7 linked regions of the Ovis aries genome follow. The protein of the gene in region 1 purifies or fractionates together with the protein of each later gene. This does not show direct contact. Links are inferred from orthologs where the notes say so. Each region holds a gene or a part of one and is shown in the gene's direction. Other genes may lie near its edges.

The links.
Region 2: the proteins of SOX2 (region 1) and DNAJA2 purify together in Homo sapiens (affinity purification with mass spectrometry; 3 studies listed by BioGRID and IntAct, with this or other methods). This does not show direct contact. The link is inferred for Ovis aries from reciprocal best matches to the Homo sapiens genes SOX2 and DNAJA2.
Region 3: the proteins of SOX2 (region 1) and DNAJB6 purify together in Homo sapiens (affinity purification with mass spectrometry; 3 studies listed by BioGRID and IntAct, with this or other methods). This does not show direct contact. The link is inferred for Ovis aries from reciprocal best matches to the Homo sapiens genes SOX2 and DNAJB6.
Region 4: the proteins of SOX2 (region 1) and XRCC1 purify together in Homo sapiens (affinity purification with mass spectrometry; 3 studies listed by BioGRID and IntAct, with this or other methods). This does not show direct contact. The link is inferred for Ovis aries from reciprocal best matches to the Homo sapiens genes SOX2 and XRCC1.
Region 5: the proteins of SOX2 (region 1) and KHDRBS1 purify together in Homo sapiens (affinity purification with mass spectrometry; 3 studies listed by BioGRID and IntAct, with this or other methods). This does not show direct contact. The link is inferred for Ovis aries from reciprocal best matches to the Homo sapiens genes SOX2 and KHDRBS1.
Region 6: the proteins of SOX2 (region 1) and ARID1A purify together in Homo sapiens (affinity purification with mass spectrometry; 3 studies listed by BioGRID and IntAct, with this or other methods). This does not show direct contact. The link is inferred for Ovis aries from reciprocal best matches to the Homo sapiens genes SOX2 and ARID1A.
Region 7: the proteins of SOX2 (region 1) and SSB purify together in Homo sapiens (affinity purification with mass spectrometry; 3 studies listed by BioGRID and IntAct, with this or other methods). This does not show direct contact. The link is inferred for Ovis aries from reciprocal best matches to the Homo sapiens genes SOX2 and SSB.

The regions. Positions count from the first base shown.
Region 1 is NC_056054.1:206,122,290-206,125,380, reverse strand, and holds SOX2 (transcription factor SOX-2), read left to right. Parts: upstream 1-1,427; coding exon 1,428-2,390; 3' UTR 2,391-2,463; downstream 2,464-3,091. UniProt on the Homo sapiens protein: Transcription factor that forms a trimeric complex with OCT4 on DNA and controls the expression of a number of genes involved in embryonic development such as YES1, FGF4, UTF1 and ZFP206. Binds to the proximal enhancer region of NANOG.
Region 2 is NC_056067.1:14,920,647-14,924,731, reverse strand, and holds the end of DNAJA2 (dnaJ homolog subfamily A member 2), read left to right. Parts: intron 1-597; coding exon 598-742; intron 743-879; coding exon 880-1,007; intron 1,008-1,542; coding exon 1,543-1,734; 3' UTR 1,735-3,448; downstream 3,449-4,085. UniProt on the Homo sapiens protein: Co-chaperone of Hsc70. Stimulates ATP hydrolysis and the folding of unfolded proteins mediated by HSPA1A/B (in vitro).
Region 3 is NC_056057.1:120,185,041-120,189,286, forward strand, and holds the start of DNAJB6 (dnaJ homolog subfamily B member 6), read left to right. Parts: upstream 1-1,402; 5' UTR 1,403-1,502; exon of another isoform or gene 1,503-4,246. UniProt on the Homo sapiens protein: Has a stimulatory effect on the ATPase activity of HSP70 in a dose-dependent and time-dependent manner and hence acts as a co-chaperone of HSP70. Plays an indispensable role in the organization of KRT8/KRT18 filaments.
Region 4 is NC_056067.1:51,467,667-51,470,892, reverse strand, and holds part of XRCC1 (DNA repair protein XRCC1), read left to right. Parts: coding exon 1-20; intron 21-223; coding exon 224-520; intron 521-727; coding exon 728-986; intron 987-1,198; coding exon 1,199-1,315; intron 1,316-2,584; coding exon 2,585-2,678; intron 2,679-2,819; coding exon 2,820-2,955; intron 2,956-3,212; coding exon 3,213-3,226. UniProt on the Homo sapiens protein: Scaffold protein involved in DNA single-strand break repair by mediating the assembly of DNA break repair protein complexes. Negatively regulates ADP-ribosyltransferase activity of PARP1 during base-excision repair in order to prevent excessive PARP1 activity.
Region 5 is NC_056055.1:235,469,388-235,473,641, reverse strand, and holds the start of KHDRBS1 (KH domain-containing, RNA-binding, signal transduction-associated protein 1), read left to right. Parts: upstream 1-1,384; 5' UTR 1,385-1,541; coding exon 1,542-1,923; intron 1,924-4,254. UniProt on the Homo sapiens protein: Recruited and tyrosine phosphorylated by several receptor systems, for example the T-cell, leptin and insulin receptors. Once phosphorylated, functions as an adapter protein in signal transduction cascades by binding to SH2 and SH3 domain-containing proteins.
Region 6 is NC_056055.1:240,201,162-240,205,550, reverse strand, and holds the start of ARID1A (AT-rich interactive domain-containing protein 1A), read left to right. Parts: upstream 1-1,478; 5' UTR 1,479-2,241; coding exon 2,242-3,387; intron 3,388-4,389. UniProt on the Homo sapiens protein: Involved in transcriptional activation and repression of select genes by chromatin remodeling (alteration of DNA-nucleosome topology).
Region 7 is NC_056055.1:139,780,909-139,785,027, reverse strand, and holds the start of SSB (lupus La protein), read left to right. Parts: upstream 1-1,170; 5' UTR 1,171-1,280; intron 1,281-1,978; exon of another isoform or gene 1,979-1,981; 5' UTR 1,982-2,216; intron 2,217-3,331; 5' UTR 3,332-3,340; coding exon 3,341-3,406; intron 3,407-4,119. UniProt on the Homo sapiens protein: Binds to the 3' poly(U) terminus of nascent RNA polymerase III transcripts, protecting them from exonuclease digestion and facilitating their folding and maturation.

The DNA.
Region 1 (3,091 bases):
AGGCTGCACTTCTCAGGGCCCTTCTGTTGATCTTTTTCTTCCCCCCAGCCCCCCTTTGGAACCCGGCTCCACTGAGATCCCTCTTTGGGGCAGGGGAGGGGTGGGGGCGGGGAGCTCAGGAGAATGGGGAGAGAGGACGAGCGTCCCCTTTTGCACGGACTGAGTGGAGGAAGATGGGTGGGAGCTGTGGCTAGGGTGAGGACCAGCCTGTGGTTTCCTGCCCCGCGGGCTGAGCTGGGCCGGGAAGAGGGTGGATTCGGCTGCTCACACAGGCCTGGTCTGACCTCAGCTCTGGAGGCAGCCGCACAGTCGGAGCAGGCTTTATTTTAAAAAAAGAGAGAGAGAGCACATTACGTGGAAGCAAGAAGATTTTGAGGACAGAACTTCTTGTCGGGACAGTGTGAGAAGGGGGCGAGCGAGTGTCGGTGCCCGTGGAGCGAGCAGGGCGAGCGGAGAAGCCAGCTTAGGGAGAAGCGCTGGAGCGGCTGGAGTTGGGGGAAGTGTGCGGAGGAGCGGGAGAACAATGACACACCAACTCCAGCACGGCTGATTTCCCGAAATATTACTGGGACAGTCTCACTGAGCCACCTTCTCTGCCTTGCCCCCACCCCCACCTCAGCTTCTCGCGCCCTCCTCCTCATTTCAGCAGCCCGCACCAAAGAGTAAATTCAAGATTAAGTTTGAAGAAGAAAATATCGTAGTCTTAGGGCTGTTTACCCACTTCCTCCGAAAAGGCGTGTGGTGTGACCTGTTGCTGCGAGAGGGGATACAAAGGTTTCTCAGTGGCTGGCAGGCAGGCTGTGGGAGCCGCCTCCCCCTCCCTCCCCCCCGCGCCTTCCCCCCGCCTCCCCCGCGCGGCCGGCGGCGCGGCAGGCCCCGCCCCCTTTCATGCAAAACCCGCCGGCAAGGCTGGGCTCGAGTGGAGGAGCCGCCGCGCGCTGATTGGTCGCTGGAAACCCATTTATTCCCTGACAGCCCCCGTCACATGGATGGTTGTCTATTAACTTGTTCAAAAAAGTATCAGGAGTTGTCAAGGCAGAGAAGAGAGTGTTTGCAAAAGGGGGAAAGTAGTTTGCTGCCTCTTTAAGACTAGGACTGAGAGAAAGAAGAAGAGAGAGAAAGAAAGGGAGAGAAGTTTGAGCCCCAGGCTTAAGCCTTTCCAAAAAATAATAATAACAATCATCGGCGGCGGCTGGATCGGCCAGAAGAGGAGGGAAGCGCTTTTTGATCCTGATTCCAGTTTGCCTCTCTCTTTCTTTTCTTCCCCCAAATTATTCTTCGCCTGATTTTCCTCGCGGAGCCCTGCGCTCCCGGCACCCCCGCCCGCCTCCCCTCCTCCTCTCCCCCCCGCCCGCGGGCCCCCCAAAGTCCCGGCCGGGCCGAGGGTCGGCGGCCGCCGGCGGGCCGGGCCCGCGCACAGCGCCCGCATGTACAACATGATGGAGACGGAGCTGAAGCCGCCGGGCCCGCAGCAAACTTCGGGGGGCGGCGGCGGCGGCGGCGGCAACTCCACCGCGGCGGCGGCGGGCGGCAACCAGAAGAACAGCCCGGACCGAGTCAAGCGGCCCATGAACGCCTTCATGGTGTGGTCCCGCGGGCAGCGGCGCAAGATGGCCCAAGAGAATCCTAAGATGCACAACTCGGAGATCAGCAAGCGCTTGGGCGCCGAGTGGAAACTTTTGTCCGAGACAGAGAAGCGGCCGTTCATCGACGAGGCCAAGCGGCTGCGAGCGCTGCACATGAAGGAGCACCCGGATTATAAATACCGGCCCCGGCGGAAAACCAAGACGCTCATGAAGAAGGATAAGTACACACTGCCGGGAGGGCTGCTCGCCCCGGGCGGCAACAGCATGGCGAGCGGGGTCGGGGTGGGCGCCGGCCTCGGCGCGGGCGTGAACCAGCGCATGGACAGCTACGCGCACATGAACGGCTGGAGCAACGGCAGCTACAGCATGATGCAGGACCAGCTGGGCTACCCGCAGCACCCGGGCCTCAACGCGCACGGCGCCGCTCAGATGCAGCCCATGCACCGCTACGACGTGAGCGCCCTGCAGTACAACTCTATGACCAGCTCGCAGACCTACATGAACGGCTCGCCCACCTACAGCATGTCCTATTCTCAGCAGGGCACCCCTGGCATGGCGCTTGGCTCCATGGGCTCGGTGGTGAAGTCCGAGGCCAGCTCCAGCCCCCCTGTGGTTACCTCTTCTTCCCACTCCAGGGCGCCCTGCCAAGCCGGGGACCTCCGGGACATGATCAGCATGTACCTCCCCGGCGCCGAGGTGCCGGAGCCCGCCGCCCCCAGCAGACTTCACATGTCCCAGCACTACCAGAGCGGCCCGGTGCCCGGCACGGCCATTAACGGCACACTGCCCCTCTCGCACATGTGAGGGCCGGACGGTGAACTGGAAGGGGCGGGGGAGACATTTTCAAAGAAAAAGAGGGAAATGGAGGACAGCAAGAAACAGCATGGAGAAAAACCCGGTACGCTCAAAAAAAAAGAAAAAAATCATCCACAGCAAATGACAGCTGCAAAAGAAAACGCCAGTCCCATCTACACTCACGCAAAAACCGCGATGCCGGCAAGAAAACTTTTATGAGAGATCCTGGACTTCTTTTGGGGGGACTATTTTTGTACAGAGAAAACCTGGGGTGGGCAGGTGGGGAGGGCGAGGGAATGGACCTTGTATAGATCTGGAGGAAAGAAAACTACGCAAAACTTTTTAAAAGTTCTAGTGATACGGTAGGAGCTTTGCAGAAAGTTTGCAAAAGTCTTTACCAATAATATTTAGAGCTAGTCTCCAAGCGACGAAAAAAAATGTTTTAATATTTGCAAGCAACTTTTGTACAGTATTTATCGAGATAAACATGGCAATCAAAATGTCCATTGTTTATAAGCTGAGAATTTGCCAATATTTTTCAAGGAGAGGCTTCTTGCTGAATTTTGATTCTGCAGCTGAAATTTAGGACAGTTGCAAACGTGCAAAGAAGAAAATTAATCAGATTGGGCATTTTAATTGTTTAAAAATTGTACAAAAGGAAAAAAATTAGAATAAGTACTGGCAAAACCATCTCCGTGGTCTCTAAAGGG
Region 2 (4,085 bases), on another chromosome or scaffold:
GTTTTTAAAATGCTTGTTGAATAACCTTTGCATTACATAGTCCATAGGCTTATAGTGCATTAATAAGCCAACTTTCTTTAGCATTTGGTTTACATTCACCTAAGCAAGTTTTGTATCTTAGGTTAGGTAAAACTTGTTCATACTTAAATGAAGTGTTGGGTTTGAGCCCTTTTACTGGTTGAGCTTTTTCAGTTGAGCTTAGGCCTTCCCCTTCCCCTCTTAGAATCATGTCTGGAGGAAATTCCAGGTGAACCTGTTCTACAGAATCCCACTGGGTCTTGTACACCTTTTCCCTCATGGTTCAGAAATGGGCCATAATTGTAAGATATACTTGGTTCTGTTTTTTAAGCTTCAGCTGTGCCTTATGAGCCATTGTATTCCCAATTCCAATTCTTTTGTGATCGAAGTTTCTAGCATATTACTTGAGAATAGCTAGATTTCCTTATATATATTGATAAATTTAGGGAACTTAGGGATGGTGGCAATTTGACTTTTGCAGTAAATGGTAGAATTAAGGTTTTGATATTGTTTCAAGTTAAACAGCACAACAGAGCATGCCTCCATAGTTTCGATATTTCTTGTGTGCTTCATTTGTAGGTGTTCCAGAGAGATGGGAATGATTTGCACATGACATATAAGATAGGACTTGTTGAAGCTCTTTGTGGATTTCAGTTCACATTTAAGCACCTTGATGGACGTCAGATTGTGGTGAAATATCCCCCTGGCAAAGTAATTGAACCAGGTAAATCTTGATTTTTGTCTGATCTAAGATTCTATGTAATCTTCTACACTGGGTGACTCTCAAAAAGCATTTATTATTGAGCACTTGCTTGGGTAAAATTCTTAATATCTTCCCCTATTTATTTACTGAAATAATAGGATGTGTTCGTGTAGTTCGAGGTGAAGGAATGCCACAATATCGTAATCCCTTTGAAAAAGGTGATCTTTACATAAAGTTTGATGTGCAGTTTCCTGAAAACAACTGGATCAACCCAGATAAACTTTCTGTAAGTATTAGGCAACAGATGACTTAAAGTTTAATAATAGTTGTTTCTTTGTCACTTTCCATTTGTTTTGGGTGCTAAGATTAGATCACATCGTTTATTAATTTGAGTGATTGAAGGTCTGGCCTCATTGTTTTTTAAAGTGGAAATAGCTGCTGTAAAAGTTTATGGGGCCAAGTCAGGACTAGTGAAGGCATAAGCAGACTGCGTGAGGTGGGGGTAGGAGGATTGTGACCCTGGAGAGCAGATCTCTTACCCCAGCCTAGCATCTTCTGGTTGTTCATGCAGGAAGACATGTCTAATGTGAAGTTTTCCAGTGTTTACATGTTAGCGGTTAAATTTGTTTATTGTTTTCTAATCAGTACATGGGTTGCACAAAAGATGTCTAGATTTGGTCTGTGGGTCATCAATTTGTGATCTCTGGCTTAAAGTGCAAAGATTTTAAATGTCAGACATACACCTTGGATTTTATCAAAAGGGAAATTGATAGTAGATAATAATCTTCAAGCTCATCTTATTTTTTTTCATTTTAATGAAGGAGTTAGAAGATCTTCTGCCATCTAGACCAGAAGTTCCGAATATTATTGGAGACACCGAGGAGGTAGAGCTTCAAGAATTCGATAGCACTCGGGGCTCAGGAGGCGGCCAGAGGCGTGAAGCCTATAATGATAGCTCTGATGAGGAAAGCAGTAGCCATCACGGACCAGGAGTGCAATGTGCCCATCAGTAAACTCTGCAAACAGATTGCACAGGGGGAGTTTCTTTCCACATTGGCCTGGTTTGTTTTCTGCAATCCAGCTGGAGCGTCTGGTCAACCCAGATGAACTGATGGACATCTGTTGGTCTATGTGTAACTTTTAAAATTGGTATAGTATCTACAGAGTGTATAATTTAAACTAACCACAAAGCTTTACATCTTCATTTCGACTGTTCTATAGCAGAATAAAGCACTTGAAAGGAAACAAGACTCCCTTTCACACATGGGTTATAAGTTTCAGTCCTGATATCTGTGCTTGATTTTTATCAGTTTTGTGTAGATTTTATGTTTCATATTTTAAATTCAATTCCCACATTGTAAAGTTTGTGTACAGTTTGTCCTGAAGCTTTGTGTTTGGCTGCACCTGCATAAGCTGCTACAAATAGAATAAAGAATTTCATAGCCTGTATCTATCATTTAGATGCATGGGAAAATGGGCTTTGCACACAATGGGTTTGGAGCTGACTGGGAACAATGGAGAAAATATCATTAGCTGAGCTGTGGTTGTAAAGTTTTGGGCGGGGTTGGGGGATGTTTCTTTTTCTTTCTTTCTCCCCCGCCCCACCTGGTTTTTTTTGTTTTGTTTTTTTTGTTTGTTTTTTTTTTTGGTTTGTTTTTTTGGTTTTTTTTTTTTACCATCTTGTGAAAGGTTTCTGGAACTGAATAATAAAAAGCAGTTGGTGTAAATTACTCTTTGTCTCACATTTTTAGAAAGAACATATTATGAACTGTAAAATCTTTCCTTAAACAAGGACATAATTTGAACTGTAAAATCTATCCTTAAACTGGAGAATGTATCCTAGTTCTGGTTCTTAAACAGTGTTTAAAAACCCATTGGCCTGAAGCTTATGCCTCAGGCTCGTGCCCATTTTATAGTTTCAAAAGACTAGAGAAAGTTTGATACATTGGTAGAAACTGGCTTTATTGGCTTCAATTAATGCTTTGTAGAGTCAAGGACATCTAAGTTATATAACTCATGGTCCTGAGTATAGGGGCCAAGTTAACCTGGCCTCTGTATTTCCCCACCCCACTCTGTTTAAAAAAATAAGGTAACAGCAAATCAGTATTAGAACCATGTCTGCATAGAACCTGTTAAAATGCTCTGTTTTCATTAAATGTTAAGTTAAAGATTCTCTTGTCTCCATTAAGTTGAATATTTGAGACTGGGGGAAGCATTGATTACTGTTGTTTTACAGAAAGGTAAGACTCTTAGGCTGGTATGAGAAAAATCAGGTAAAACTACTATGGAAAGGATATACTGTTTTTTCATCTTCTATTATCTTTTCATTCCCAGAGTAGATATTTTTAGAACACACTTATTTTAGGGAAAAAATAGATCAGTTGTAGAAACGTTTGTAAAAGACGAATGGGAGAAAACTGAAAATTAAACATTTTTAATGTATTATGCCATCCCTGAGCCTATTTGTAGTACTTGCAGTCTATTTCTAGGTCTTATAGAACCTGAATGAAAAAAAAAAGTCCTGACATTGATCAAGGCCTGTGAGGTTTAAATTATTGCCCTATCCACTCTACCTCCATTGCACAAAGACTTTCACAGCCAGCCGGGGCAAGCTGCAAGAGCATAGCAGTTTTGTATCCAAGGTTACTTCCCCCACAACACTAAGGGAAAGCAATGCAGTGGCAATGCAAAATTTGTAGCCTTTCCAATAAAGGTTTGTAAAACAGTTGTACAGTGTAGTCTTTCTTTCAGTTCTATCCAGATTTCTGGATTGTAGTAGTGAACTATGTGAAAGTTGCTCAGTCATGTCCTACTCTTTTGTGACCCCATAGACTGTACAGTCCACGGAATTCTCTAGGAATGGGTAGTTTGCTTCAACAGGGGATCTTCCCAACCCAGGGACCGAACCCAGGTCTCCGGCATTGCAGGCAGATTCTTTACCAGCTGAGCCACCAGGGAAGCCCGAGAATACTGAAGTGGGTAGCCTGTCCATTCAGGGAATCTTCCTAACCTAGCAATCGAACCAGGGTTTCCTGCATCATGTGGATTCTTTACCAGCTGAGCTACGAGAGAAGGGGAATAAGACCTTGTTACGGTTATTTCACTGAAGCTACTGGCTCTGTTGCAGAGCATCTGTTTTAAAGAATAAGCATGTATCATTAGTACAAAGAACCTTTTATAATGGCTTTATTGAAATACAATTAATATACCTTTAAATCTACTTTTTAAAGGAAAGTACAAGGAATTCCCTGGCTGTTCAGTGGTTAGGACTCCATACTTCCAGTGTTGGGGTCCTGGCTTCAATCTGTGGACTGGAAACTAAGATCCCACAAGCCACATGGCCAAATAAAAGGTGTGCAGTTCA
Region 3 (4,246 bases), on another chromosome or scaffold:
CTTGTCACTGGTGCCAGCTGACCGGCAGGGTCGGGGTCCCTCTGCCGTTTCTAAGCTTGGTCCTAACTTTCCTTTCAGCTGCACAGCATGTGGGCCTTCAGCTTCTTGACCGGATCAAACCCTCATTCCAGCATTGAAGGCATGGACTCTTAACCGCTGCACCACCAGGGAGGTTCCCATCCTAACTTTCTTGGGATTCCGGAGTACTTCCTGCTATGTTCATCAGGAGGAGTGGGCAGAAAGGAGAGACCTGGTGCCTGCCCAGGACGCGGCCCGAGGCAGAGGAGAGGGGGGGTCCAGGACGGGGCAGGCCGGGGGCCGGGGCAGGGGGATCTGGGCCCTGCTCCAGGAGGTTGGGGCATCTTAAAGAAAGTGCTGGAAGTCTGCCACCTTACCCTTCACCTCGCCCCACTGGCCAGAGCCGGACTGGGATGCTGTCTCCATTCTCAGTTCAGTTCAGTTCAGTCGCTCAGTCGTGTCCGAGTCTTTGCGACCCCATGAACCGCAGCACGCCAGGCCTCCCTGTCCATCACCAACTCCCGGAGTCCACCCAAACCCATGTCCATCGAGTCGGTGATGCCATCCAACCACCTCACCCTCTGTCGTCCCCTTCTCCTCCTGCCCTCAATCTCTCCCAGCATCAGGGTCTTTTCCAGGGAGTAGTATAATTAAAACAACTTTGGGGGGGAAAAAGAATTAATTCCCATCACTCCAAAATCTTCTCTGATCTTAACAGACGTAAGAAGTTACACTTATTTCACTTTGTTGTAATCAGCATGCAGTTCTAAATGGCCAAGAACCTAGACCCTGAGGCTTAATTCTAGGGAACAAAGTGGGGAAAGTGGAGGCAGGGCAGGGCAGTTTCTACCAGATCTCCCTGGAAACAGTCAGCTGCTGACCCAGCGGGACTGAGGCTTCCACCCCGAGCCCGGGGTCCCTAAGGACCAGGAACCGCCCCCCGGCAGGACAGGGGGCCCACCAGCTGGCGGAGGGCCTCGGCTCTCCCGGGGTGGCTGGAGCGCGCCCGTGCCCCACGGGGACGCTGGCCAACAGCCCCTTCCAGAGGCGGCTGCAGCTCTGGGAGGATTGAAACCCCGGCCAGTTGGATCTGGTTCGTCTGCCTCTATCGTTCTGACCCGCAAATCCTGCTAATACCGGGACTGCTTGCCAAGTGATGAGGGGCTGGAAAGACGAGGGGCGTCCGGCTGCTGTAAGGGCGCCAAGAGCCACGTGGGTGCAGATAGAATGGAAGGAATGTGGGCCGCGGCCAGCGGGCGCCCGGCAACCAGAGACCTGGGCGCGGCCGCGGGCTTGCTCGCCGGTCAGGTCAGGTGAGCGAGACTTCCGGCTCCTGATGCCCGGAGGAAGGGGCCTGGAGCCTGCGGCGAGCCGCCCGCCCCCCGGAAACGGAAACGACCCCAGGAGCAGCGGGACTCCGGCGGGCGGACCACGCAGCCGTCGGGCTTCCCGGCTTCGTGAGCGCCTTCACTCTGGATAAAAAGGTGCAGTTCAGACAGACGAGAGCCCGCCTTACTTTCAGCCCTCGCGGGTGGCTGTCCTGAGCTGACCCCCTCATCTGTTGAGCGGTGTGAGGTTTCCTGGGGTCATCCTGGTGACGGCTGTGGGTCTGAGAGCCGGGCGGTGTCTAAGTGAGGGCGGCTGGCGGGCTCCCAGGCCTGCCTTCTTTCTGGAAAACGCAGGCCCGCGTGGATGGCTAACGCCGCTGATGCTCACTGTGAGACGTCGGCAGGCATGCAGACGCGCCCCTGGTGGGGTCCCTTTGCTGGGCCTTTGGGGCCCAGCTCTCAGAGCCCTGGGGGCTCCTGCAACCCCAGCCTGAGAAGCTTCACCTCTAAGCACCTCTGAGCGGCTGGTGGTCTGCCTGCATCCTCTCCTTCCCACCCCGGAGCACAGTAAGGCCTCTCCTTCCCGGAGGGTGACCGCTGGCCGAGCTGGCTGCTGAGGCAATGTCCCGAGTCCATCAGAGGGTGAACGGGACACAGGACAGGAGCGGGCCGGGGACCCGGGCACTGAGGCACGTCTGTGTGGCCCTCCTCTGCCTGCACAGCACAGGGAACTGCTGGGGGGCAGGGTCACAGAAAGGCAGCCCGCCCCTCAGCGCCAGTATTCCCCAGAGGGCCTCAGTCCCCTGAGCCTGACGCCCCCACCCCCATGGCTGGCAGGACTGTGAGCCTGGAGCCTGCACCCAGGGAGCTCGGAGCCTGCCCTCTGGCTACAGAATTGCCCCTGGCCCCCTAGGTTGCTCTTTGGGCCCCGGGCTGGCCGTCAGCATCCTTCCGGCTGGAGCGAGCCCTCTGGGCCAAGGTTTTCCTGGACCACCATCTCCAGCCTCTGGGTGCAGGAAGGTGTCAGTACGCATTCACCCATCTAGTCCATAAACATTTGCGGAGACCTACTCTGTGCTTCAGACCCTGGAAGGCACTGGGGGTTGGGCATGGGGCTGTGGGTGCTGGCTGGAGGGGTAGCCAGTACTGGGAGGGTTAGGGCTACGGTGATTCTGATGGACGTCCCCAGGGAGGAGAGGCCTGGGAGGGTCTACTTCCAAAGGGCCTGATTTCCAGGGCACGGGGCACAGAAGACACAGGTGCTGGGTGCAGCTGCAGAGAGTGGTCCCCTCGAAGCCGGGGGACTCGGGAACGAGAGGGAGCAGGCCTTCTGTCCAGGCTGGGGAACTGACCCGAGGTGACCCCTGCGTGGGCACCGGCCCCGGGACGTCCCTGCTGCCCCACGTCCACTCCACTCCACGCCAGGCCTCCCTCGGACAGGCTGGGAGTCTTCCTCCTCCTCGACGTCAGAACAAAGTGAGACGCTGTGGATGCAGCTGGGGACTCTGTTGGGGAGGAAACTCTTTCCTTGCTCTTCTAGACTCTGGCCAGTCTAACAGTTAAACTGACATAAGACAGAGTAACAGGAAGAAAGCAACTTCCATCCCTGCGGGGGCCCCATAAAAGCTGAACTGACTCTAGGTACATGCACGCTCATGTCTGACTCTTTGCAACCCATGGACTGTGGCCCTCCAGGCTCCTCTGTCCTGGGGAGTCTCCAGGCAAGAATGCTGTGGTGAGCTGCCACACCCTCCTCCCGGGGACCTTCCCGACCCAGGGATCGAACCTCTGACTCTCATTCTTCTTACTCTTCACCCACAGCATTGACAGGTGGGTTCTTCACCACCAGCGCCGCCTGGGAAGGCCAGGGTGACTCTGGCCCCCTTCAGTTGCACGTTAGATCACGTTCTTGCACGAACGTCTCTTTTCTTACGAGTGATGACGTTCGACACGAGGAAGCTTTCCTTATGAGATCATACGTGCTAAGACAGCTGGAGGCAAAATGTCAGGATGTCTGTAACCCGCGTTCAGATGGCTCAGCAAAAACTGGAAAAGGAAGAAAGACTGAGCTGAGGGGCAGCAGCAGTTGGCGAATGGAGGCGAAGACACCTGTTCATTCGACTGCTTTTTCAATTTTCCCGGAGTTCTGAGAAACTAAGAACTCAGAGTAGGGGGGCAGGGTCTGTGTTGAAGGGACAGTCTGTTAGAGCTGGGGGGTCAGGGGGCTGCCCTGGCTCCATCTTGGGCGGGGGGGGGGGGGGTTCCATTTGCTGGTGGCTATGTGCTGGGGAAGCCCTGTCCTGTGACCATAGTTTCCATTTCAACCCCAGACAGCCCTTTCCAGCTTCATCTGGGCTTCAGAACAGTAGGGTGTGTGAGGGAGGCTCAGGATGGGGGGACGCGGGTCCACCTACGGCTGATTCAACAGAAACCAACCAATCCTGCAAAGCAATTATCCTTCAATTAAAACTAAATAATTTTTTTAAGTCAAATATGTTAAGAGATAAAGTAAAAAAGTAGCGGGGGGAAGTGAGGGGAATATGCCAGCTTACTGGGAACCCGGACACGGTCATCCTGCAGGGATGCTGCTGGAGAGGAGAGGCCGTCCACTAGAGAAGCTTTCAAGGGGTGAGCGAGGACCCATGTGGCTTCAGCTACAGAACCGCGCTCCTTCTCTCTGCTTGTCCTTCTCGGAGTGTAGGAAGTGCCGTGACAGGCGGTGAATCTCCGGGACCGGCAGGTTCCCGCTTCCTCCTCTTCTCAGCTGGGTGCGCTGTGCCCGGGCAGTGGGTCTGAGCTCTAAGAGAGGGCGCCAAGCTGCTCTCACTCCTTTGCAGAGCAAGTGGCGGTCCGCTGGAGGAGGCCTCACTTCCAGGAGTTCTTTCCTGTTCCCAGGCCCC
Region 4 (3,226 bases), on another chromosome or scaffold:
TATCAACAAGACACCCCCAGGTGAGGATTCCAGAAAGCCTGGGTCCTGAGCAAGTAAAGGCTGGGGGCCTGGATCCTGGGCCTGAGGGAGTGGGGGCTGGGGCCTGGACCCCTGGGTCACTGCTGGGTCTTGGGAACAACACTTTGTGACCCATGGATAGAAAGGAGCCCGAAGGCCTGAGGGTCCAGCCCCCTCATCCTGGATCCACTATCCCCCTCTGCAGTGGCAGCCGGTGACCCGGCAGGACCCAGCTATGCAGCGGCTACACTGCAGGCCTCCAGTGCCGCCTCCTCAGCCTCCCCAGCCTCCAAGGCAGCAGGCAGCACCTTCAAGGTGAGATCACCAGACCCTGGGGGGGCAGAAAAGGAGGAGAGGAGCTGGAGGCCTCAGCACAACCCACCCCCTCAGCCTCAGGAGTCCCCCAAAGGCAAGAGGAAGCTGGATTTGAACCAAGAAGAAAAGAAGACCCCCAGCAAACCATCAGCTCAGCCCTCAGTACCTGCCCTCAAAAGACCCAAATGTGAGCAAACTGGATTCCTTGTTCCCACAGAGGGTCCAGGTGTGGAGGGGCAAGGGATCCTGGGTCTGAGGGAAGAGGGCCTGGGGGTCTGAACTCCTGGGTCTGAGAGAGGAGGGGCTGGGGAGCCTGAACTCCTGGGTCTGAGACAGGAGAGGTGGGCGTGTAGCCCTACATTTTCTAACTGAATCCACTGTCTGGCTTCCCCAGTGCCAGCTCCCCCCCGTACCCCAGCCACTTCCCCCACCCCTGCCCCAGCACGAGGGGCGGCACCAGAGAAGCTCCGAGGAGAAGGCGCTGAGCCCAAGGCCCCCCGCGCAGGCCCGCAGGAGCTGGGGAAGATCCTCCAGGGTGTGGTGGTGGTGCTGAGTGGCTTCCAGAACCCCTTCCGCTCGGAGCTCCGGGACAAGGCCCTTGAGCTGGGGGCCAAGTATCGACCGGACTGGACTCCAGACAGCACGCACCTCATGTAGGCCGGCGTCCCCTCCCCTCACTCCCCGCTGCGCCTTCTCCGACTTCTTCCATCTGCTCCGTCTTGCTCGCTCTCTGTCACCTCGCCTCTCCGCATCCTCTGCCTCTCGTTCTCTTTCTTTTCTTCCCTCCTCCCCTCTGTCTCTCTCCCATGCCCCTTGTCTCTTGGCCTTTGCCGCTCAGTCTGCCCTCCGTTCTGCTCCCCACCAGCTGCGCCTTTGCCAACACCCCCAAGTACAGCCAGGTCCTTGGCCTCGGAGGCCGAATCGTGCGCAAAGAGTGGGTGCTGGACTGTCACCGCATGCGGCGGCGGCTGCCCTCGCGGAGGTAAGGCCTCTCTGCACACGTGTGCTTTACACACGCACACCCCACCCCGACCCTGCCCCTCATCCCTGTGCCGAGCAGCGCCAGGGATCTGGGGAGAAATCAGGCTGTGGCCTGCCAGCTCGGGAGTCAGCCGACTTCCCAGAGGAGGAGGGGCAGGGCTGGGAGATGGGGAGGAGAGGGAGGGTATCCTCAGGGGTCCCAGGAGGGCTCTGGGAAGTCTGCTTAGCAAAGGAAAAGGCTGCAGGCTGGAGAAACAGCGTTCACAAAGGCTCAGGGCGGAGAATGAAGTGTTGCGACCTGTTGACATTCATTCGTCTGAAACCCCTGTGTGGTGTCAGGCTGGGCTGCCCACCGCTGGACCCCAGACATCGGTCCCTCCTTTCGAGAGCCTCTGACTTTGATGAGGGGCCAGACTTATTGTGAAATACTTTGGAGGAGGGCCCACAGGGAGAACTGCAGTGAGCCAGGGTTCCTCAAGGAGAAGAGGTTCGCCAGGCTGAGCTGAGGCAGAGGAGCCGAGGCTGGCTCAGCCTGGTGTCTGTTGGGAAGTGGGGCTCCTTTAGCAGTCTGAGCCCCTGGACCACCGGGGAAGGCCCCCAGCACTTTAAGCCTTCTGAGTTTTCCCACGAGCCCTGGTTCTACAGTGAGGGTGACTTTCCCGAAAAGGGCGTCACCAGGTTGGAAGCAACCGTATCACGTGCAGAAGGGTCTTAACGTGGGGGCCAGGGCAGCATGCCCAGCAGGTTCACTCGCTTCTGCTGCGTACGCACTCTGCCCTGTGATTTGGGGCCACTTGATTCATCTCTCTGGGCCTCCGTTTCCTCTTCTGTAAAATGGGGCTGAAAATAGCACCCGCCTCAGGATTCAGCGATTCTGAACCTGTAAAGTGTTCACAGCAGTGCCTGGCACACAGGAAATTTGCTTTCAAGATTTTTCCCTTGATCAGTAGGCATTCTCCTAATGAGAAACTGACTTTGATGCTTGCCGGAGAGAATTATTTCTGATTTTTTTTGTTTGTTTCTGAAATGAGACATTTCTTCCCTCGGAGGGGAAGCCAGGGGTTGCTGTGGTCAATGGTGTGGGTGGCTGAAGGTCCACGGGGCCCTTCTGGAGCTGGGAGAAGGGGTAGACCAGGAGGGAGACCACGTCTGCACCCTGAGGATTTATTTATTGATAGTAAATGCAAGCGCCTGCTGCTTCTTAAGCCCCCTCCCCACCTCCCCTGGAGGACGCATCTGCTGTTGGTCTGAGGCCCGATCCCTCCTCCAGGTACCTCATGGCTGGGTCAGGCTCGAGCAGCGAGGACGAGGGGGGCTCTCACAGCGGCAGCAGTGGGAATGAAGCCCCCAAGGCTCCCCGAAAGGTCCATGCCCCTTGCCCGGCATGGGGGAGGGTGGAGTCGGGGGGACACGGTACCCCAAACTCTCTACTTCTGTCTCCTGCGGGCACACACTCACACCCTCATTGCCCCTTCCCTCCTCCCTGACCCACCCTCCCTCCTCAGCGCCCCCAGACCAAAGCCAAGCCCCCTCAGGCAGCAGGACCTAGCTCACCCCAGAGACCCCCAACCCCAGAAGAGACCAAACCAGCCTCACCAGGGGCCCAGGAAGATAATGACGACACTGAGGCGGAGCAGTCAGGTCAGAGTCTGAGGGAAGAGCGGCTGAAGACCCAGATTCCCTCGTCTAAAAGGGGAAGGAGTTCCAAGTCTGAGCTCCTGGGTCCAGCGAGATGGGGCTGGATCCTAGACAGTGGACCTAGGGGGTGGAGGGAGGCCGCCCCCTCACCCCCAACTGGATCTGGGGAGCAATTGGGTTGGGGGTTGAGACACCCCACCTATGCTCAGGTGTGAGGCTGGGAGGTAGGGGCCTCGAGCTGACTAAGTGTCTGCTCACAGAAGGACGGGACAAC
Region 5 (4,254 bases), on another chromosome or scaffold:
TTGTTCTCATTCCTGCTGGTGATTTATCTCCCTACCCCCAAGAAGGCAGCCAAGCCCTAATGTTCCCTAAGCTGAAGGCTTCTAAGTTTCAAATCTACAAATCAGCAGTTTTTAGGCTCCCAGAAGACAATTTCCAGAAATGCTTTTGGAAAGCGTGGGTTTATTAGGGGAACAGATCCAGAAGGAAAAGGGATGAGAGCAAATGCTTTGAATGAGAGAAGAAAAAAAAAAAAAATCTGTGGGGGGAAGGGTTAGAGAAGGTACCAAGTGTTAGAGTTTATGGAAAGTAAGGACCTAGCCTTCATCTGCATATAGCACCCCAGGATAAGGAGTAGGCTGTGGGAGACTGTCCACTATAATGCCTTGGCCTTGAGAGCTGTGGTAAGGGTCTATCTCTTTGAGCAAGTGTAGAAAGATGATTTACAGCAGGAGGATTAGCACTCACATCAGAAGAAGCCACCCGAATGATGCAACCATCACAGATTAGAGCTGGCCTCTACCCCACTTTTTTTGTGAAAGAAACACAATCTGCAGAAAGCAGTACTATACGCAGAGAGTTAAAATGCTTCACCTTTCAGACGACTTCTCTGATCAACAACGGCTAAGTCTAAGAACCCACTATACTGGAAACGACAGGATACGACTTCTTGGACTCCCTGTTTCGGTCTGGGGCCCTTTTCCTGGCTGGATATTAGGTCCCTGATCTGAACCCTCCCTCTTAGTTTAACTCCTCCAATAGCCTTCAGTCTTTCCACTGACCAGTCCTTCCTCAATGGCCCCCTCCAAGTCTGGCCGCATCTCCACCCCTCAACCCTACGTCAGACTCTCCCTTAGTCGTTCCTTCTTCACTCTAATCTCCCTTGCGCCTCTCACCCTCGCCTTCTTCTGCCCAGTCAGCCCCAATTCCCTCTCCTTCCCCTCCCGCATCCCCCGGGAGGGTCTCCTTTCATTCTTCAGTAACCACTCCCCTCCCCACCCCGCGCCCGACCCACCGACTGAGTACAGGCACCCCCCCTCCACAGCTCAGCCGTTGGAGGCGTGGCCCCGCGAGTAACAGGTCTCCCGCCCCACACTCCGCGGGCTCGCGCGCAGACAAAGACATTCCACAGCCCCCGCCCCCTCTGTGCGCTCGGCCAGAAGAGGGAGGAGACACGTGTCCCGCTAGCGCCGAGTCACGTGGAAAAGAAACGAACGGAGCCCGCGGCCTCCCGCGCACGCGCTCAAGTACCCGGCCTGGAGGGCTCGGAGGGAAAAGGGGAGAGAGGAGGCGACTTCTTCAGACTCCACGGCGGTGCGCAGGCGCCGTGGCCCGACCGGGGACTTTGTTCTCCGCGGAGAGACCCAAGGGCGGTGCCGGTGGCTGGCTGCGCACGCGCGCCGCCTCATTTCCGGTGCTCTCTTTTGCTGGGTCGCTCGGGTCGGCTTCGGTCGCTGTCGCTCCCGCTCTCCCACCCCCGCCAACCGCCGCTCGGGCCGCCGGCGCTCAGGCCTCTGCCGCTACCGCGTCGCTTCCTCGATCCCTTAATCGCACATCTTTCCCAATGCAGCGCCGGGACGACCCCGCCGCTCGCATGAGCCGGTCCTCGGGCCGCAGCGGCTCCATGGACCCCTCAGGTGCCCACCCCTCCGTGCGTCAGGCGCCCCCTCGGCAGCCACCGCTGCCTCACCGGTCCCGGGGAGGCGGAGGAGGGTCTCGCGGGGGCGCCCGGGCCTCGCCCGCCACGCAGCCGCCACCGCTGCTGCCGCCCTCGGCCACCGGTCCCGACGCGACAGTGGGCGGTCCAGCGCCGACCCCGCTGCTGCCCCCCTCAGCCACTGCCTCCGTCAAGATGGAGCCGGAGAACAAGTATCTGCCCGAACTCATGGCCGAGAAGGACTCTCTTGACCCGTCCTTCACTCACGCCATGCAGTTGCTGACGGCAGGTAAGCGGGCCTCTGGGGTCCCTCTGGGTCTCCGGGCCAGCCAGGGGCATGGGTGGTAGCGGCTTTGTTCCTCTTGCTTCCCGTTCCCTGAGGACCTCGGCAATCGTGGACTCCTCTCATCTTCATCTTCGGAAGCTTAAGATTCCACGTTCCCATCCCGGCCCAGAGTGCGAGGGAGAATTTCCAGACGGCAGTGGAGGCCCGGAGGGAACTTAGCCATCTCTTAGCGCAAAGATCTTGATGGATAAATGCCGCGTTCCCCGCCCCCTTGGCCGACCCTTCCTCCTCCCCTCTTGCAGCTGCCCTGCGCTCCGAGTGCTCAGATTCTTCCAGAAAGGAACCTTCATCTCCCCCTTCCCCCAAAGGGGAAGCTTGTTTGATCGCGGGTGGCTGTCGGCGCCTCAACTGAGTGTAGGAGGTGAAGACAGCCTGAGCCGGGAGGGACCGTGAGTGGGGCGGGGGGCGAGGTGAGATGGGATGAGACTGGGGTGCCCTGTCCAGCGCCGCGGCCGCAGGGGCCGGTCGGACTTAGCGGTAACTGGAGCTTGAGTTGCTTGGAGGCAGGAGCAACCTGTGGGAATCCGAGCTTGAGGTTTTCCGAATTATATTTCCGACCTCGGCAGATAAGATGGTCATTTCTGCCTAGCCAGACGTTTTGGATCCCTTTATTTTATAATGTGTGTTGTGCATTCAAGAAAGGGGAAAAAAATAAACCTAGAGACGGTGAAGGGGTGATAGAAGGAGGTTAAGGATGGTTTGCGTGGCATTCCCAATCAGATGGGGAAAAAAATTGACAGAAGTTTGCGTGGCCTCCTCCCCCGCTCTTCTCAGTAGTGAAACAGACGAGGAATAGTAGTCTTTGTTCTCTTGTCTGTAGACTAGCGCTCCTTTTTTGCGCAAAACTAGCCATCATCTAGTCGCTCTGATTTCTCCTGAAAACCGCCTATTTTGCCCTCTCTTCCTGTTAAAACGGTATAATGAGTGTCTTATGATACCTAAATTTTATAAGCAAATAAAAATTCAAAACCTTCCAACACTGAGTGAGTAGTTGGACTCTTTGGCAGGATTGAAATAATGGACAGGCCCTATATGAAAATATCTTTTTCCCTGCGTTTGTTCTCTGTCTCCCAACATTAGAGATCTTTACTTTTAAACAGTAAACAAAGCCCCAGACATTCAAGAATAACATTTAAATAAACTGCTTACGGCTTCAGCTCTGTGCTTTGCTCTTCTATAACACAGTCAGATTGTTTGAAACATTACTGTTCATTGTGTTCTTCTGGCAAACTCTTTGAGGGCAAGGAAAGCTTTTTAAATCTTATTGTCTTGCATATAGCAAATACCAGTTGTTTGAATCTGAAAGCAAGTACATGTAGGTTCAAGAACCTCAGACAATGGTAAAAGTTGACTGGGTTTTATTTTTATTTTCTTGCATCTTCAAACAGTCCAGATTAAATGTATAGAATAAAATAACAAACTTTAGAACTGTAAGGTGTTGACTTGGCTTTGAAATTCTAGCTCTTGACTAGTCATCTATTCTTGGGAAACTTTTTGAATCTCACTAAGCTCATCTGTAAAGTGGGGTGGTGAGTTGTGAGGATTAAATGTTGTATAAAAAGCTCTGGCACAGTTCCTTTTGACCTGTAATCATTAGCTAATAACTTGCCACCAGTTTTCTCCTAGTTGTAAATTCGTGGTACAGATTTAGGATGAAAACGCAAAAATTTTCTTGCTATTCTACGCACATCAGGTGTCCAGTGCTAGTCTAGTCTTTTAAGTAAAATACGATTTCTTAGAATAGCTATCAAAAACTCAATCCTTATAGTGAAAGTTTTAGTTGCTCAGTCATGTTCGACTCTTTTGTGACCCCATGGACAGTGGAGCTTACCAAGCTCCTCTGTCCATGGGATTCTCCAGGCTAGAATACTGGAGTGGGTTGCCATGCCCTCCTCCAGGGGAATCTTCCTTACCCAGGGATTGAACCCAGGTCTTCTGCATTGCAGGCAGATTCTTTACCATCCGAGCCACCAGGAAAGCCTGATCCTTAAATAAAATTTTCACCTCTCTCTTACTGCTTAACTTTTGTCACGAGAGAGCGTGCTTTAATTTTTTTTTTAATTTGAGCTTTTTTCCCCCTCTCACTTTTTAAAAAACATATGTATTTTATTTATTTGACTGTGTCAGGTCTTAGTTTTCACCAATAAGCTTCATTCCTCTGTGGCATGTGGGATCTTAGATCCCAGGGCCAGGTATCAAACCTAGGTCCCCTGCATTGCAGGATGGATTCTTAACCACCGGACCACTGGAGAAGTCCAAAGCTTTTTTTATGTC
Region 6 (4,389 bases), on another chromosome or scaffold:
GTTCAGGTTTGGGGAATTATTCAGTGGCCAGTGAGTGGCACAGCCAAAAAACCTCCAGGGGCCTGCGGAATCTGGAAATTCTAAGGTAATGGTTCTGTGGCCATGAAGCATCTATTTACAATATTTAAGTGGGGATGAAACCCTGGTGTCTAATGACTAGCTGACCTAGCATCTCTCAAGGCAGCCCTGGGCTTCGTGAGAAGCCGGTATCCCTTCTGGCCTGTGTAGCCTGTCATGTCAGAGCATTCTAAGTCAGTCAGAGGACAAGGCTGCTGCTGAGATGTGGTGGAGCCTGTGAATCTAGAATTTTCTGTGTATACCTCCAGTTCACTCAGCATCTCCCATTCAGCATCTCTTAGAATGTAACAGTAAACTTTAATGATTCCTTACAATGAAGGATAGAAAAACAAATTTAGGCTGCATCTGTTTTCTGAGTGAGGTGTTAGACTGCACCTTTTCTCTCTTTTTAAGGAGAAAACGGTTCCCTCTACTTGGTCATCCCTCTTCGGCAGAGGTTCCTTTGAACACTCAGGTTCCACCAGTCCCTGGAGTCTCTTCTGTGGTCTGTTACAGTCTTACAGGTACTGTCTTTGGAGACGGGACCTTGGTCATTGTGGGCAAAGGTGGGGCTTGTGTCTTCCTCCAAGAAGGCGGTCATATGTCCCCAAAATATCTTCAGGGGTGACCATTTTATATCGGTTGAGATGACCAGCTTGAATCTCAAACCCATTCTGATGTTCTGATCCCACTGTTGTATATGGCACCACTTTTCTTTTTATTACTATTATTTCTAACGCTAAGTAGACAGGGGCAGCACTGGGGACTCTGCTACTTTTTAAAGTCACCCTCCACTGCCCTTGTCTTTGTAAGTGATAGACTAAGTGATAGGCCGGTCCCCTTCGCTATCTTATGAGTCTGTAAAATGGGGATCAGGAACTTCGTGCCCCCAGGGCCTGTGAGGACCGGCTAATGAGGGCAGAGAGTGGGAAAACGGAAAGTCTGAAACAATGATCTGTCATTCCATGCAGCTTGCAAAGAGGATACAACGTAAAGCTCAGCTGGGTCTTTGGAGCAGGTCTGCAAAAGGCTTTGAAGAAGGAAAAGTGCCGCGGAGATGCTAAGTAGCGGCCAAGAGACCAGGCCCGCTGCCAGGGGGGGTCAGGCCTGGGCCGAGGCGGCCGCGGTCTCGGGCTCAGGCCAATTTTGCAGCCGCGAGTAAAGTTCACGCTGCCCGCGGCGCGAAGGGGACCGACCTGGATAGGGAGGCCAGGAGGGAGGCGGCGCGCAGGCTCCGGAGAGGCGCGAGCTCCGGGCCGGGTTTTCCCCGAAGCCTTCGGCGGCGGCGCTGCCGAGCGAGAGCGGCAGAGCGCTTGCCGCCGCCGCCGCCGCCGCCGCGGCTGGTTCTCTCCCCTCCTCCTTTGTGAGGGGAAGGGAGCGAGTCCGTTCCACGGCCTGCGCCCCGCTCCGCGCTCCGTTCCGGGTTTGCCAGGCGGCCGCGACGGCGCTGGGTAAAATGGCAGTGCTGAGCCTCGTGTCGGAGTGAGGGGGACTCGGAGGAGAGTGGGGCGCTCTAGCCGCTCAGTCCGGCCGCCCGCCCGCTCGCCCGCTCGCCGCCGCGCAGCAGCCTCGGCCCGGCGCCGCGGCCGGGGAGGGGAGGCAGGGCGCCCGGCCCGGCCCACGCTCCGACTCTGCCTGCCGGCGCCCGGGCTGCTGCCGCGCGCCCTCCAGCCCGCCCGTCCCGGGTCCCCCTCCCCCCGCTCCCTCCCTCCCTCCCCGCCCCCTCCCCCTCGCCTCCCTCCCTCCCCTCCCTCCCTCCCTCCTTTCTCCGGCAGCAGAAAGCGGAGAGTCACAGCGGGGCCAGGCCCTGGGGAGCGGAGCCTCCACCGCCCCCCTCATTCCCAGGCAAGGGCTTGGGGGGGAATGAGCCGGGAGAGCCGGGTCCCGAGCTTACAGAGCCGGGAGCAGCTGAGCCGCCGGCGCCTCGGCCGCCGCCGCCGCCTCCTCCTCCTCCGCCGCCGCCGCCAGCCCGGAGCCTGAGCCGGCGGGGCGGGGGGGAGAGGAGCGAGCGAGCGAGCGAGCGAGCGAGCGCAGCGCAAAAGCCGCGGAGCCCCGCGAGGCCCGCCCGGGCGGGTGGGGAGGGAAGCCCGGGGGGACTCGGCCCCGGGGCGGGGTGGGGTGGGAGGGGGGTGAGAGAAGACGAAGACAGGGCCGGGTCTCTCCGCGGACGAGACAGCGGGGATCATGGCCGCGCAGGTCGCCCCCGCCGCCGCCAGCAGCCTGGGCAATCCGCCGCCGCCGCCCTCGGAGCTGAAGAAAGCGGAGCAGCAGCAGCAGCAGCAGCGGGAGGAGGCGGGGGGCGAGGCGGCGGCGGCGGTCGCGGCGGAGCGCGGGGAAATGAAGGCAGCCGCCGGGCAGGAAAGCGAGGGCCCCGCCGTGGGGCCGCCGCAGCCACTGGGAAAGGAGCTGCAGGACGGGGCCGAGAGCAATGGGGGTGGCGGCGGCGGCGGAGCCGGCGGGCCCGGCGCGGAGCCGGACCTGAAGAACTCGAACGGGAACGCGGGCCCTAGGCCCGCCCTGAACAATAACCTCACGGAGCCGCCCGGCGGCGGTGGCGGCGGCAGCAGCGACGGGGTGGGGGCGCCTCCTCACTCAGCCGCGGCCGCCTTGCCGCCCCCAGCCTACGGCTTCGGGCAACCCTACGGCCGGAGCCCGTCTGCCGTCGCCGCCGCCGCGGCCGCCGTCTTCCACCAACAACATGGCGGACAACAAAGCCCTGGCCTGGCAGCGCTGCAGAGCGGCGGCGGCGGCGGGGGCCTGGAGCCCTACGCGGGGCCCCAGCAGAACTCGCACGACCACGGCTTCCCCAACCACCAGTACAACTCCTACTACCCCAACCGCAGCGCCTACCCCCCGCCCCCCCAGGCCTACGCGCTGAGCTCCCCGAGAGGTGGCACTCCGGGCTCCGGCGCGGCGGCGGCGGCGGCCGCCGGCTCCAAGCCGCCTCCCTCCTCCAGCGCCTCCGCCTCCTCGTCGTCTTCGTCCTTCGCTCAGCAGCGCTTCGGGGCCATGGGGGGAGGCGGCCCCTCAGCGGCCGCAGGGGGAACCCCCCAGCCCACCGCCACCCCCACCCTCAACCAACTGCTCACGTCGCCCAGCTCGGCCCGGGGCTACCAGGGCTACCCCGGGGGCGACTACGGCGGCGGGCCCCAGGACGGGGGCGCCGGCAAGGGCCCGGCGGACATGGCCTCTCAGTGCTGGGGGGCTGCTGCTGCTGCGGCGGCGGCGGCCGCGGCCGCCTCGGGAGGGGCCCAACAAAGGAGCCACCACGCGCCCATGAGCCCTGGGAGCAGCGGCGGCGGGGGGCAGCCGCTCGCCCGGACCCCGCAGGTAACACGGCTGGTGGGGTAGGGGGGGCTGTGGCGAGTGGGGCGGGGGGGTCCTGGGAGTGGATGGCGGCGGCGGGGAGCGGGCCACGGCCGTGGGCTACCCCCAGTCTGGGGCCCCCACTGCTGGGGAGCTGCCATTGTCTCGCTCTTTCTCTCTTAAAATGGCTGCCCGTCTGCCTTCCTCTCTTTCCCTCCTTCAGCCTTTGTGTGGGGCTTTCCTTGAGGTGTCTGCTCCCCTCCTCCTCCTCCCCGGGTCCCTTCCAGCTCCGGGGGGTCTTCAGAGGGGTGCGGAGCCGGGTGTGCGGGAAAAGGGCCCGGCCCGGGGTGAGGGGGTGTTGGGGGCTCAGGTTAGGGGTGTAGGCAGCCCTCGGAGGTCGGGAGTTGAGTGAACAGTTCTTTGCTCACCTGCCGCTCCTCTCTGCCCTCCCTACCTTCCTCTAGGCCGGTCCCCATCTGTGCTTTCAAGGAGGGGGCCCCTCGGGCTCGGGGGGACCTCGAGGGAGGGCAGGGGCCTGCTTGGGAGCAGCTAGAGCCCGGCTTCGGTTCACCCTGGGCAGCCCAGGTCGTCTCCTGTCTTAGTCTCCGTCGGCCCAGTGGCCTGGGCTTCTCCCTGGAAGTGCTGGTAAACAGCTGAGTGATTGGAGTAGTAAGTGCAGATTGCTTTGGTTTGGGATTTGAATTATGGAGGTAAAATCCTTCTGTCAAAGCCAGGAGACAGTTGGTCTTAGGTTGACATCCTATCTGTGATCTGATTGGCTCCCCATCTCCTGCTCTTGGCCATTTATAATTGCCTCTGATGTAATGGTACAACAATCCTGATGAGCTCATAAACTTTTACACTCTGCTTTTCTGCCAGTGATAACCCAAACCATCGCTGCCACTATCTGCCTTTTATTCCAGAGCTGAAATTGGCTGTGACCTTGAGGAGGGAGATTTAAGCAGCAATACTGTATCAGCAGGAGCAGAGCCCCAGACAGGCTGCCCTTGTTACATTGTGCCCGGA
Region 7 (4,119 bases), on another chromosome or scaffold:
ATTGCAGCCATGAAATTAAAAGACGCTTACTCCTTGTAAGGAAAGTTATGACCAACCTAGACAGCATATTCAAAAGCAGAGACATTACTTTGTCCACAAAGGTCCATCTAGCCAAGGCTATGGTTTTTCCAGTGGTCATGTATGGATGTGAGAGTTGGACTATAAAGAAAGCTGAGTGCCAAAGAATTGATGCTTTTGAACTGTGGTGTTGGAGAAGACTCTTGCGAGTCCCTTGGACTGCAAGGAGATCCAACCAGTCCATCCTAAAGGAGATCAGTCCTGGGTGTTCATTGGAAGGACTGATGTTGAAGCTGAAACTGCAATCCTTTGGCCACCTGATGCGAAGAGCTGACTCATTTGAAAAGACTTTGATGCTGGGAGGGATTGAGGGCAGGAGGAGAAGGGGACGACAGAGGATGAGATGGTTGGATGGCATCACCGACTCGATGGCCGTGAGTTTGGGAGAACTCCGGGAGTTGGTGATGGACAGGGAGGCCTGATGTGCTGCAATTCATGGGGTTGCAAAGAGTCGGACACGACTGAGCGACTGAACTGAACTGATGCTGCTCCTATTATTATACGCCAGGCACAGTTCCCGACAAAAGGTATACGTTGTACCATGTTTTATACTCACGACAGCTATATAAAGTGTAATATAGTTATCACTGGCCCCATTTTATATATGAAGGATAGAGAGGTTGAGTAACTTTCCCAAAGTCACACAGCCTGTAAACTGGAGAGCTGCTGACCGCTGGCAGTCTGATTTCAAGAGTTCCAGCTCCTAAAGTCTCTACTATATTTTTTCCCCTCAACTTTAAGATTCCATGAATTTTTCATTTAAAAAATGAAATGTTTTACTTGTCATTTTTAAAAAATGGGTTAACTATTACGGATAATCAAAACAATTTTTTTTAAAAGTACAGTCAACCACTTCATGTGAATGGAGAGCCCACGGAAGGTCTGGAAATACAAATGCTGTCCAGAAATACTTAAAAATAAATATTTACCCTAACACTTCCAAAGTGCTGCTGAATATCGTAACTCAATCTCACCGAAACAATGCGCAGGACTTCTCAGACCTTGGGAGGTTGCAGCAGAGGCGCATGCTCACAGGGCGGAGCCGGCTCGGGTGCGCCGGAAGCCCCGCCCACTTTGACCGCAAGGGTTGCCGGGACGGCCCCCATCTTCTTTACGTGAGGTGGGAAAGCCGGTGGCTCAGAGGAGTGCAGACGCTACTTGGTGACCCTGTGGCGCGTCTCAGTGGGGCCAGGAACTGAAAGGTGAGCAACTCTAGGTGGCTAAAGAGAAGAAAGTACAAAAGGGTCTGTTTTGCGTGTTGCGCGACGGCGCGTCCCTTTCATTGCTGCCTCACGCTGGGTGCGTCCGCTCTTCGCCTTCCTCGCGTTCCGGGCGAGCGCCGCGTGGGCCGCAGCCCGTGGTGGCAAGCTGCGCTGGGGGCTAAGGGGCGCGGGCCGCTGCGAGATGGGGAGTCGATTCTGCGTTCTTCGCGGTAGCGAGGATTTCCTCGCACGTGGCTGGGGCCCAGGCGACCAATTGGTTGCTTTGGGACGGGCTGTGGCGGATTATTTGGACGCAGGCTGCCTGCATCCCCACTGCGTCTTTAAGGTTTCGTATCTTCACCGTTTTGCAGTGTCGCCGAAAGCGAATGTTTGGTTGGGCTGTATAAGATTCCGGGGAGGTTGATGTGGGTTAAACGCAGAAGGGTTTCTTGGATCATACGAGGCAGACTGGGGTCAGGGAATCGGGGCCACAGATGTTCTCATGGCGTCACTCTCTTGGATTTTAACGGTCATTATTCACTCACATCAGGGCTTCTGAGCGAAACTGAAAAACTTGGGTAATGTTTCAGTTGTACATTCTAAGAGTGTATCTCATGAGATGAAGTTCCAGTTTTGAGTAGGCCAAAGAAGTGTTGCAGGGACTAAATAGTTCTTTCATGTCACCCTTTTCTTTATAGAAGGCTCTGGAGTACAGTAGGGCTTCCCTCGTGTCTCAGTGGTAAAAAACTCGCCTGCCAGTGCAGGAGACGCTGGTTCGATCCCTGAGTCTGGAAGATCCCCTGGACAAGGAAATAGAAACCCACTCCAGTATTCTTGCCTGGGAATTTCCGTGGACAGAGGAGCCTGGTAGGCTGCAGTCCATGGGATCGCAAAAGAGTCGGACACGACTAAGCGACTAAACAACAACATATCACGGTAATAACTTAGGAATCGTGGTGGAAAACCCATTGCGTAAGATTGACCAAATTTTGTTAGTAAGGTGTTGCACCATAGGAGAACTTCCAGTGTGCATCCATGTTATTGCATGGTAATTACAAGTTATAAAGGGTTGCCTCCAACATGTGTATCACTAGAGTTAACTAATGGCAGATAGCCTTGATGAATTATTCTAAATATACTTTTATACAGTGTGTTTTGATGGCTTAATGGAGTACTAGAAGCAAATAATTTGAAGTCAGGAGACTGTTAGTCCTAGCAAACCAACTTCACAGACTTACACGATTTTCTTGCAGTGTTATTGTGAGTGATGTGAAACAGGAATGTGGCTGTAAGGTTAACCATGTTAGTAGGCATGTGTATGTGCGTGCTCAGCCAGCTTCAGTCATGTCCGACCCTGTGACCCTATGGTCAGCAGCCCAGAAAGCGGCTCTGTCCATGGGATTCTCTAGGCAAGAATACTGGAGTGGGTTGCCATGCTCTCCCGGGCTGTCTTCTGCACTGGTAGGCGGGTTCTTTACCACTGGTGCCGCCTGAGAAGCCCAAATAGTAGGCATACTCCAGTTTAATGTTGTTTTAGTGTTCTCAGCTTCTCAAATGAGCATTTTCATATATTCCTTAATATTAGCATTAATTTGTTCAACGCTGTGTAACATTTTTAAAATTTTGTTTCACCCAAAAGTTTTGATAACATAATCTTGTTTTTAGTAAATCAACTGTGGCTGATTTTTAAGAAATTCAGTCACACCAAACAAGACAGATCCATGATATTGACAACTGACATGCTTAAATGCATGGAGTTTTTTCCCTCAGAGCTTTCTGGATCAGCTAAATGAAGATGACCCACTCACTTTGTTATAGAGGATAGAACAATGATTGACTGAAAGAAGTGAGGATCGTTGATAGTTTTTCATCACTTATTTCAAAATTTTTCTTTTGTTGAAATTAGAAAATTGAGTAGAGAAATTGAACCTGTAAAATTGTTTTTTATTTAGGAAAATAGTGGGATATTGATAATTAAAACATTCTTTTAAAAGTCTTGAGTTCTCTGTAAAAGGTAAATAACTTTTATGCCAATTTGGAAATTTTTGCAGCTAGCCAGAATGGCTGAAAATGGTGATAATGAAAAAATGGCTGCTCTGGAGGCCAAGATCTGTCATCAAATTGAGGTATGATTCTTGTGGTATTACAATGTGAAAACACACTCTTTGAGAGGAGATTTAGGACCTTAAAGATAGAGCATTTAATTTTGATATATTGACCTATTGAACATTCTGGTTTGTTTTTGGTTCTTGGTGTTAAGGTGGGTGCACAGTAGTGTACAGTTTTATATTGGTGGGGCCAATTTCTAAAACCCATTCAATAGGTAACACTATAGACCAGCTTAACTTTACTTCTTTACTGCTTTTGTTTCCTGGTCTATAAAATGAGGATAGAATTAGGTTGTGAGGTGTACAGTAGTTCATAAAATGTTAAACATTTTTGAATAATATGTAGCACATAGAAGGATAATTTAAAAATTCTTTGTGAAATACCTTCCCTGTTAAATAGCACTTTATTCTTGAAGGTCCTGATAGTTTTTCTACTCAATTAGGTCTTCTCAATCATCATAACTTTTAAGTGTCTGTTCTCAAAGTTCTCTTAAACTTTTTTTTAAATTTAGGTATTGTAAAAAGTTGCACTTCTGTTATTTTGAAGTTCCTGTGTTACAACTTTTTTTTTTTTTTTTACTAATTTCTTTATAATTGTGAAGAAAAATTATAAATTATTCTATTTCAGTATTTGGAATAGTACAAAAATGTATGTGGAAAAGGTCAGTAATGTCCCTTCCACAACCTACCCCTCCTCAAATCTCATGCTCTTGAGGTAGTCAAAGTTAAAA